Chlamydomonas reinhardtii: one gene and its partner. Each later gene encodes a partner of the first gene's protein in a complex. Links are inferred from orthologs where the notes say so. Each region holds a gene or a part of one and is shown in the gene's direction. Other genes may lie near its edges. The genes, in order: CHLRE_06g255450v5 and CHLRE_10g465900v5.

Evidence for each region.
Region 2: CHLRE_06g255450v5 (region 1) and CHLRE_10g465900v5 share a complex: the UniProt entries of both Arabidopsis thaliana proteins name them as parts of the DREAM-like complex. The link is inferred for Chlamydomonas reinhardtii from reciprocal best matches to the Arabidopsis thaliana genes RBR1 and CDC2.

The regions. Positions count from the first base shown.
Region 1 is NC_057009.1:939,763-944,092, forward strand, and holds the end of CHLRE_06g255450v5 (uncharacterized protein), read left to right. Parts: coding exon 1-90; intron 91-213; coding exon 214-838; intron 839-975; coding exon 976-1,193; intron 1,194-1,323; coding exon 1,324-2,403; 3' UTR 2,404-3,712; downstream 3,713-4,330. Other genes in the region: CHLRE_06g255500v5 (uncharacterized protein), read right to left, coding at 3,867-4,330. UniProt on the Arabidopsis thaliana protein: Key regulator of entry into cell division. Acts as a transcription repressor of E2F target genes, whose activity is required for progress from the G1 to the S phase of the cell cycle.
Region 2 is NC_057013.1:6,429,965-6,434,517, reverse strand, and holds the start of CHLRE_10g465900v5 (uncharacterized protein), read left to right. Parts: upstream 1-1,555; 5' UTR 1,556-1,811; coding exon 1,812-1,820; intron 1,821-1,931; coding exon 1,932-2,116; intron 2,117-2,202; coding exon 2,203-2,323; intron 2,324-2,494; coding exon 2,495-2,544; intron 2,545-2,699; coding exon 2,700-2,823; intron 2,824-3,302; coding exon 3,303-3,437; intron 3,438-3,626; coding exon 3,627-3,826; intron 3,827-4,051; coding exon 4,052-4,208; 3' UTR 4,209-4,553. Other genes in the region: CHLRE_10g465950v5 (uncharacterized protein), read left to right, coding at 1-70, 265-498, 748-930. UniProt on the Arabidopsis thaliana protein: Involved in the control of the cell cycle. Essential for both G1/S and G2/M (mitosis) phase transitions. Functions in cell morphogenesis as well as cell proliferation.

The DNA.
Region 1 (4,330 bases):
GGCTCGGCCAAGTTCCAGCGCGGCCTCATTGCCTGCTGCATTGAGGTTGTGGCGGCCTGCTACCGCATGGTCTCCTGCGCCTTTCCCAATGTGCGCATGACTGTTGGGTTGTTGGGAAGTTGGGTCACGCGCATGTAATGGAAATGCATGAGGCATGGAAAGCATTTTTAGTCTCTGAGCATGTCACAAAGGGGTCTCGCCGCTTCGCTGCAGGTGCTGGACGCGCTGCGCATCAAGGCCTTCGACATGGCCAACATCATCGGCACCTTCGTCAAGAGCATCGCCACGCTGCCGCGTGAGCTCAAGCGCCACTTGTTTCTGATCGAGGAGAAGATCCTGGAGTGTCTGGCTTGGGAGCCGGGCTCGTCACTCTACCACCTGATCGTCAACGTGCACACCGAGAACGAGGCAGCGGCCGCCGCAGCAGCTGCGGCCATGCAGGAGGCGGCGGCCACCGCAGCCTGCTCGGCGGCATCAGGCGACGACTCGCAGCACGACGGTGCAGGCAGCCGGGCGGGCCTGTCATCCTCCTCGGGCGGTGCGGGCGCGGCGGCTGCGGCGGAGGGCGGCGCGGATGGCGGCACGGAGCAGCCAGGTGCCTCATCATCCCACAATACGGAGCAGTCGGGAGGCGCCCCGCCCATGGAGACGGCAGAGGGGGGTGCGCCGGGCGCGGCGACTTCGGCGCCACCGTCGACGACCCCTGCGGCCCCAGCTGAGCCTGCACCACCGGCTGCTGCCAGTCCCGCGGCGCCGGCGGCCAGCCATGCGCCGCCGCCATCGCCAAAGCGCAGCCAGGGCGTGGCGTTCTCGGGCATGATGTCGCCGGCCAAGAAGGGTGAGTGACTGACTTATGGAGCGCATCCAATGCTTGTAGCAGTATCATCAGGAGACGTTGTGTGCGTCCGGCATCCGTGTCACGTCCATGCCACTTAGCGATCACGCCCTAACTTTGCCTGTTTGTCTTCCGTACAGCCCGTGGCACGGACGGCGGCGCTCACTCGACACAGTCTTACATCGAGTCGCTGCCCAACGCGGTGGGCTTCCCTCCTGCCGCCGGCGCGGCGCAGGGCCAGGCGGGGCTGCTCTTTGAGTTCCTGCGCAAGGTGCTGAAGCTCACGTCGTTCCGCCTGGCGCTGCTGTGCGAGAACTTCGATTTCAGCCCGCTAGAGGGGCCCGAGGTCAACAGCAAGGTGGGTGACTACGGGGGCTCTGAATATTGCCGGATTGGAGTATGGGCGGGCCGCGTTGTTGAAGTGGTGGCGTCGTCCCGCGCACTGGCGAGCTATTCGACTCAATTTCTTCCCTTGGCGTCTTCCGTAGGTGTACGAGGCCATTGAGCATGCGCTGTACAAGCAGACGCACCTGTTCTACAACCGCCACATCGACCAGATCATGCTGTCGACACTGTACGGCTACTGCAAGGTGCACAAGCTGTCGCAGGTCTCCTTCCGCGAGATCATCGCGCAGTACCGCAAGCAGCCGCAGGCGCAGCAGTCGATCTTCCGCTCGGTCGTCATCGACCAGGTGCTGCCAACGCTGCAGATCCAGTCGCGCGCCGACATCATCGGCTTCTACAACGCGGTGTTTGTGCCCGCGATGAGAAACTTCCTGCTCAAGAGCGAATCCAACGGCTCGGGCGCCAGCGGACCCGGTTTGGGCGGCGACAGCAAGCACGCCGCTGCGGGCAACAGCGGCAATGCCGTTGGCGCGGCAGCCGGCGCCGCGCCCGCTCAGGGCGTCGGCGCCACCTCCGCCATGCCGCCGGGCCTGCCGCCCTTGCCACCCCGCGCGAGCCAGTCGCCGCGGGGCCCCAAGCTGCCGTTGCTGGGTGCAATTGCGGCGGCGCCGCGCATGCTTGGCCGCTCTGCCAGCGGCAACGCGCGTGGCGGCGGCGAGCGTGAGCTGGGCATGCCGCTGCTGCACCCGCTTCTCCCCACCGGCAGCAGCACCGGCGGCGGCGCGCTTTCACCCACCAAGGGCAGCGAGGGAAGCGGCCACCCCACGCCGACGGGGCCCGTGCCGGTCTCCCGCTCCAGCAACGGCGGTCGTGGTGGCAGTGGCGGCCGCGGCGGTGGCCGTGGCAGTGCTGAGCATAAGATTCCAGAGGGCCTGGCCGCACTGCTGCAGGCGTTGGACAGCCAGAAGGCCGCCGAGGAGAACGGCGCCGAGGAGGAGGAAGAGGAAGAGGAGGTCGATGCCGATGAGGAGCAGCCGCAGGCGCGCGTCACGCGATCGGGTCGCACGGCGCGGGACCGTAGCACGGGTCGGGAGCGCCGCGGCCGGCACACGGAGGCGCGCGACGACATGGACGAGGCCTCCATGGACGCGGAGTTCTCGCAGCAGACCGTTGTCACCGGCCGCCGGCAGCGCACGCCGAACCGGCGGTACGGGGCGGATTGAGCACCGCGGCCGGAGGTGTAAGGTGTTGAGCCCATCATTCTGGGAATGCTGAAAGCAAGGAATTGGCATTGAAGATATAGTTTTGGATTCGTGCATGTTTCTTTCAGGTCTTCTTCAATTCAAGGCCACCGGATCTTCACTCTCCTAGCCCGCCGGCATGGTGGCCGGTTGCAAAGATTAGAGGCATGCGTTGGGATTGAGTCCGCCTGACGCATTGTTTGCGCATTCATTTGGATACCCTAAAATGACTACGCACACCCCACTGTCAAACAGAGATTGAGAACGCATGATGGGAGGGAATCGCAGACCACCATTGCATTGTGCCCACGGCTTGGGCCCCACTGCCGCCGTGTGTGCTCAGACCCGTGACCAGCGAACCTGTTGCACAGCGTGGGCATGGAGGGGGCAACAGTACTCGACGGAACTGAAATGGCGTTTCCACCAAGCTTATGCATGCGAGGGGACCGCCACATATCTGGCTTCCCCCAATAGTGTAGGCCGGCTTGGTGTGACGCTGTTGTCGGATGTGGGTTGCAAGTACGTATCCCGATGCGCGGAGCGTGTATCACCTAAAAGATGTTACGCATTGCAGATGTGCCGGTGTAAAGACGGTGTGACGCGGATGGCGGAGGGCCGAATCGGTAGTACTTAGTAGCGCCGGTGTACCTACGAATGCTATCATCATTAATTAGTTTGACTCGCGAGATATCCGGTCATCCAAAATGCAGAATGGTCTTGTTCGATCAGTGAGCGGTGGATGAGCCCACACGTAAGCGGGCTATTGGATGATTTGCTCTCGGTTACACTGATGCGATGTCTCTCCCGTTGGTTGCACTTGGGAGCAGGTCCATGCGTGTGCAGTACACGCTTGGCTTGAACTTATACCAATGGAATGGACATGTCCCAATGCGGAATGGACACCGCGCGTCTGATACCGTACAGCACTGTCAGGCAGCAGCTTAAGGATGCCGCACAGTCTGGCTTCCTTCCTACACTTCAACAATGACTACAGACCCACGAACCTACATGGTGTGCTCCAGCTGGGCCGAAACCTACGCCTTCAGTAGAAGCGCTATTACGGTATGTCTGGAGCAGCAATCATGTAACGTCCCAACAAATCCTCGAGCATCGTGTGCAAGGAAATCCAGGAAGATCTAAAGCACCACTGATCTCAAGAGCGCCTGTCTCTCGACATACAGCAGTCACACTAAATGCTCCCTACGAAGGCTGGTTCGGACGAGACCAACGCCTTACCTGCCTAGCAGCAACGCCCCATCCCCTGGTATCTGCAACCCCCCGATCCAACCCGCCTTCCCACCTGACACAACACGTCCGCAACTCCGCATCCGCCTTCACCGCCCCACCGCTACACAACATGAGCCGCAATGGTGGGAGGTTGGCCGCAACCGCTCCAAGGCCGCTTCAAAGCCCCCCGGCTCGTGCCTCCGCCGCCCTAGGGTGCCTCATCGCGCCTGCACGCGCGCCGCGAACTCCGCAACCAGGTCCACAAACAGCCCCGGCATCTCCTCCTGCGGCATGTGCCCGCACCGGTCCAGCAGCACCAGCTCGCAGCAGTCGGGCGGCAGCATGCGCGCCAGGCGCTGGCTGTTGGAGGCGGGCACCAGCTTGTCGTACAGCCCGTGCACCAGCAGCACAGGCAGCCGGCGCGCCGCCACCAGCGCCGCCAGCCGACTGGCCAGGTCAGTGTCCTCCTCGGGCGCGTCGTTTGTGGCCGAGGCCGCCGTGGCTGCTGCTGCGGGGGCTGAGGAGCTCGCAGCGGGGGCGACGGTGGGAGACTGGGGCATGGAGGCTGCGGCGCGGGAGAGGCGGGAGGACTCCGAGTCGGCCACGGCGGCAGATGCGGCCAGGCCTGCGCCGGCGGCCGCAGCCGCAGCGGCGCCCATGCCAGTGGCCGCAGCTGCGGCGG
Region 2 (4,553 bases), on another chromosome or scaffold:
CCGCAGCGACCGGCGAGGCGGCTCAGAGCGGGACCGCGGAGAGCGGGACCGCGGAGACCGGGACCGTGAGGTGAGTGCGGCCACCGTGTGCTGGGGTTATGCTGGGATTGGGCGGGGCAAGTGAGACCGAGCGGCTGGAGGAAGGACCGCCAGCGTCTGCCCGTGTGTGTGCGGACTGGAAAACCGGGGAAGCCGCGAGGGAGGACGACCAGTTGCCACCCGGAGCATTGAAGTCGCCACGCACTTGTGCCCGAACCCTCGCAGCGCCGTGACCGCGACCGCTCACGTTCTCGCTCGCGCGACCGGCGTGACCGTGACCGTCGCGATCGGGACCGGGACCGCGGCGATGACAAGAGCCGGCACAGCAGCAAGAGCCGCGGGCGGGGCGGGTCGAGCGGTGGCATGGAGGACGGCGAGGAGCCGCGGCGGCAGGAGGAGCAGGCGCCTGCTGTGGCACTGGATGCGGACATTTCACCCGAGGAGATTGCCATGATGCAGGTGTGGAGGTTACGGCGGGCGTGGTGGGGTTGCGGCCGTGGTTGCTAGTGACAGCGCGCGGTAAACGGAACGGGGCGTAAGTGCTGGGGACGGGGAAGTGGGTGCGCGGGGGCTGGCATGGGTAAACGAGTCGCATACCGGTACCGTACATTGGTCACGCCAGCTGCGACTAGCGTCCACCCCGCACAGCGACTTCCACCACACGCCGCCCATCCTCCCGTCACCCGCTTCGCCCCTGATCCACCACAGGCGATGGGCATTCCCTTTGCCTTCGACACCACCGCCGGCAAGGAGGTGGAGGACGAGGCCGCCAAGCTGAGCGGCACCCGCACCAAGTCCCTGCGCACCGCCCGCCAGTACATGAACCGCAAGGGTGGCTTCAACCGCCCGCTGCCCGCGGAGAAGAGCCACGAGAAGTACCGCCCCGACTAGAGAAGCCAAAATCAAGGCCCGGCAGGCGGCGGGGGCGGTGGTGCTTGCTAGGGTTGCTTGGTTGGGTGGCCTGGAGAAGGGCAGCTGCGTGGGACCGGCGGCGCGGAGTAGGTGGCATGTCCGCGGTGCTGACGCTGTGAGCCATTTGCTCAGACTACTGAGTGAGGCAATGGTGACCTTAGTAGCCACAACGAGACGAAGCCGCGGGTATGCTGGCGGCCTTGACAGATGATTCCTGTGGGGTCTATCAGGCTGTCAAAGTTTGGGGACAGCAAATGACCGGAGTGGTACCCGCGTGGGGGAACCCAGCCTTGACCGGTCCTGAGTAGCTGCTGTAGGTGCTGCTACAGCTCCCGCATTCGTTCCAGCACCTCAAGCAGTGTTGGAACTAGTCAACATGCACGTAAGTCATCTACGTGAGGTGATTCGAGGGGCTAGACCAGCAGGCGTCACGGGCGGACGACGAGGAGAGGGTGCGGCCGAGAAGAGGAAACGAGCGGGCAAGTTTTGAGTTTGTGTACTGGCACGGCCAGTGCAAAGCTTTCAACGCTGAAACTTGCTGTTTGCTTTATGATAGTCGAGCCTGGACTGGCATGGTTATGGGTAAGGTGGGAAACAAAAATCAGTTCACGATTGAAATGGCGCGAAGTCGTCCAGGTACCCGCACAGCGATCCTTGCACATAAAGCGTCACCCATAACGCGTGTTTAGCAGAAAACAACACCTTAACCTCGATCCTCTGCATGCCAAGCCCCTGAAACTGGCCAGTAACCTGGAGAGCACCCTGCTAGAAGTCGAGTGAGGGTCGGAGGCGCAGCAAGACTGGCCGCAGTTGCTCGCGGGCCACTTGGCCCGCCTGCAGGTGGCGCTGGGGGCCTAATCATGGACAAGGTGCGGCACGCTCTCTTGAATGCGGAATCGGCAGCTCTTCCTCCTTCAGGCTTCCAGGGGAGTTCGCGGCTGCTGTTACTCGCTTACATGCTTGCCTTGAAATGTGCGCAGTATGAGAAGCTCGAGCGGGCTGGAGAGGGCACTTATGGTGTCGTCTTCAAAGCTCGCGACCGATACACCAACGAAATTGTAGCGCTGAAGAAAATTAGGCTGGAGCAGGAGGATGAGGGCGTGCCTAGCACAGCCATTCGGGAAATTTCGTTCCTTAAAGAGCTGCGCCACGACAATGTTGTCCGGTGAGCAGTCTTCGCACGACACTCTGCGCTGGTGACGTGTGGGCAGTCATAAGAGGACTCGAGCCCGACGATATCGCCCCCTACAGGCTCTACGACGTGCTCTACAGCGACCGCCGATTGTACTTGGTGTTCGAATTCCTGGACCTGGACCTTAAAAAGCAGATGGACCAGACGCCGAACTTCAGCCGGAATCAGCGCGTCATCAAGGTGTGCTAGCGGGAAAACAAGCGGGGGCAGGTGGCGGCAAAAGGGCGTCGGGTGAAGCGCCGCAGGTGGGAGCTGGGTGCGTGCTGGGTGGGAAGAGTGCGACATGGGGTTTCGCCGTCGGTAATCTTGGATAAATCTGGATCGTGACCAGAACCTTGCGCGCTCGTGCAGATGTACATGTGGCAGATGCTGAGCGGTATCGCCTTCTGCCACTCGCGGCGGTGAGTGGCAACTGGCAGGCACGTGAGGGATATCACACATGAACAGGTGGAGGCACCTCATGACTGTACCCACCTGCGTCGCCATCAACTAGCACTAGCTGATCATGCAACACGTCCCATCGTTGCCCTGCCACATGCTACAATGCCCTGCGCAGTATCCTGCACCGCGATCTGAAGCCGCAGAACCTGCTCATCGACCGCTCGCGCAACACGCTCAAGCTGGCGGACTTCGGGCTGGCGCGCGCGTTCGGGATTCCCGTGCGCGCTTACACGCACGAGGTGGGAAGGGCAGGGTCTATCTTCACCATTTTTAGTAAGAAACCAAAGACACCAAGCCGCAGGACAATACAGGGCGGCGTGACGGGGGCATGGGAGATGGCGGGGCGGCTTGACGGGGAGGTGGCAGCGCAGCGTGACGGGGGTTGGGACATGTCAGGACAGCGTAATGATTGGACAGGAGATGGCAGGCCGGCTGGCCGAGCTTGGTCTAGTATGCGGTATCAGAGGTTGAGGCGGGAAGGGCCGCACGCGCCTTGGGTGCAAGGTGCGGATGCAGGGTTGGGCACTGGAGTGTGTGCGCTTTCTGGATGCAATCGCCCACCCAGCAACTGCTGCTGCTAGGGCACCAGCACTCGCAGGCTGCCAAGTGCGCAGCGACGCTTCGGTTTATGTGCGCATCGCACTGGCGCCGTCCGATGCCCGATGCCGAACTCTGCCTTGGTGCTGCTGACGCGCTCGCCCCCGCACCCCCATCACAGGTAGTGACACTGTGGTACCGCGCACCCGAGATCCTGCTGGGCAGCAAGACCTACTCCACCCCCGTGGACATCTGGTCCATCGGCTGCATCTTTGCCGAGATGGTCAACCACCGCCCGCTGTTCCCGGGCGACTCGGTGCGTGCGGGCTGACTGGCATGTTGGCTGGAGCGCAAAACCTCACGATGGGGGAGCCGCAGTCACGGCTGCTCTCTGTAGGCTAGGACCACATGTGATGCGATGGGTGTGTTTTGCAACGGCGCGCCTCGGCTTCACCGCGCACTCCATAACTCCACACATCCCCGCCTGGCTGCCTCCCTCCCCCAGGAAATTGACCAGCTGCACAAGATTTTCCAGCTGCTGGGCACTCCTGATGAGGCCATGTGGGCGGGCTGCAGCGCGCTGCCCGACTTCAAGGACACCTTCCCCAAGTGGCGCCCCCAGAACCTGGGGGCAGCGGTCCCAACCCTAAGCCCCGAGGGCGTGGACTTGCTGGCGCGCATGCTGGTGTACACGCCACAGCACCGGTGAGGAGGAATGTGGGCCGGGGTTAGCCATACCGCACGTATATGGAAAAGTGTGGGGCGTGTCCCACGGGCGTGTCTCAAAGAGCATGCCGGTATGGTTGCGTGTGCAGGTTGATGTGCAGTGTGCGTGCTTGACGTCACCCATGCCGTTGGATTTGCTCTCAAAACTGCCTCACCAACGGAATGGCTCAGCACCTCCTCCCACCCATCACCGCTACCCCGCAGCATCACGGCCAGCGCGGCCATGGAGCACGCCTACTTCAACGAGATCCGCGACACCATGCGGGCCGCAGTGGCGCCGGGCGGGGGCGGCATGGGAGGTGGCATGGGCGGCATGGGGGCGATGGGAGGGATGGGCGGCGGAATGGGCGTGATGCGCTGATGAGCAGCAGCACCGGTGCCGGCGTGCAGCGACAGGTGGTTTCATGTGGTGGAGAACCGTGCCATATTGGCTGAAAGTGCCGGTGTGAGCGCGGGCAGGCTGGACATAGGTTTGCTGGCGCAAGCGTGGTCTCAGGGGCGTATTGTTTGCTGCAAGGAGATATACGGATACGGCGGCGTGCAAATGGACTTTCTATGCGGTGACTAGGCATTTATTCTTCACGGCAGGTGGGGCTAATAGTTGCGGGTCACATCCCGCTACGACTGACATACCGTTAGCGTTTGACTTGGTTCTATGTGGATATGGGTCGGCAAATGCAAGAGCGTGCGGAGGTGGGCGCTTCCG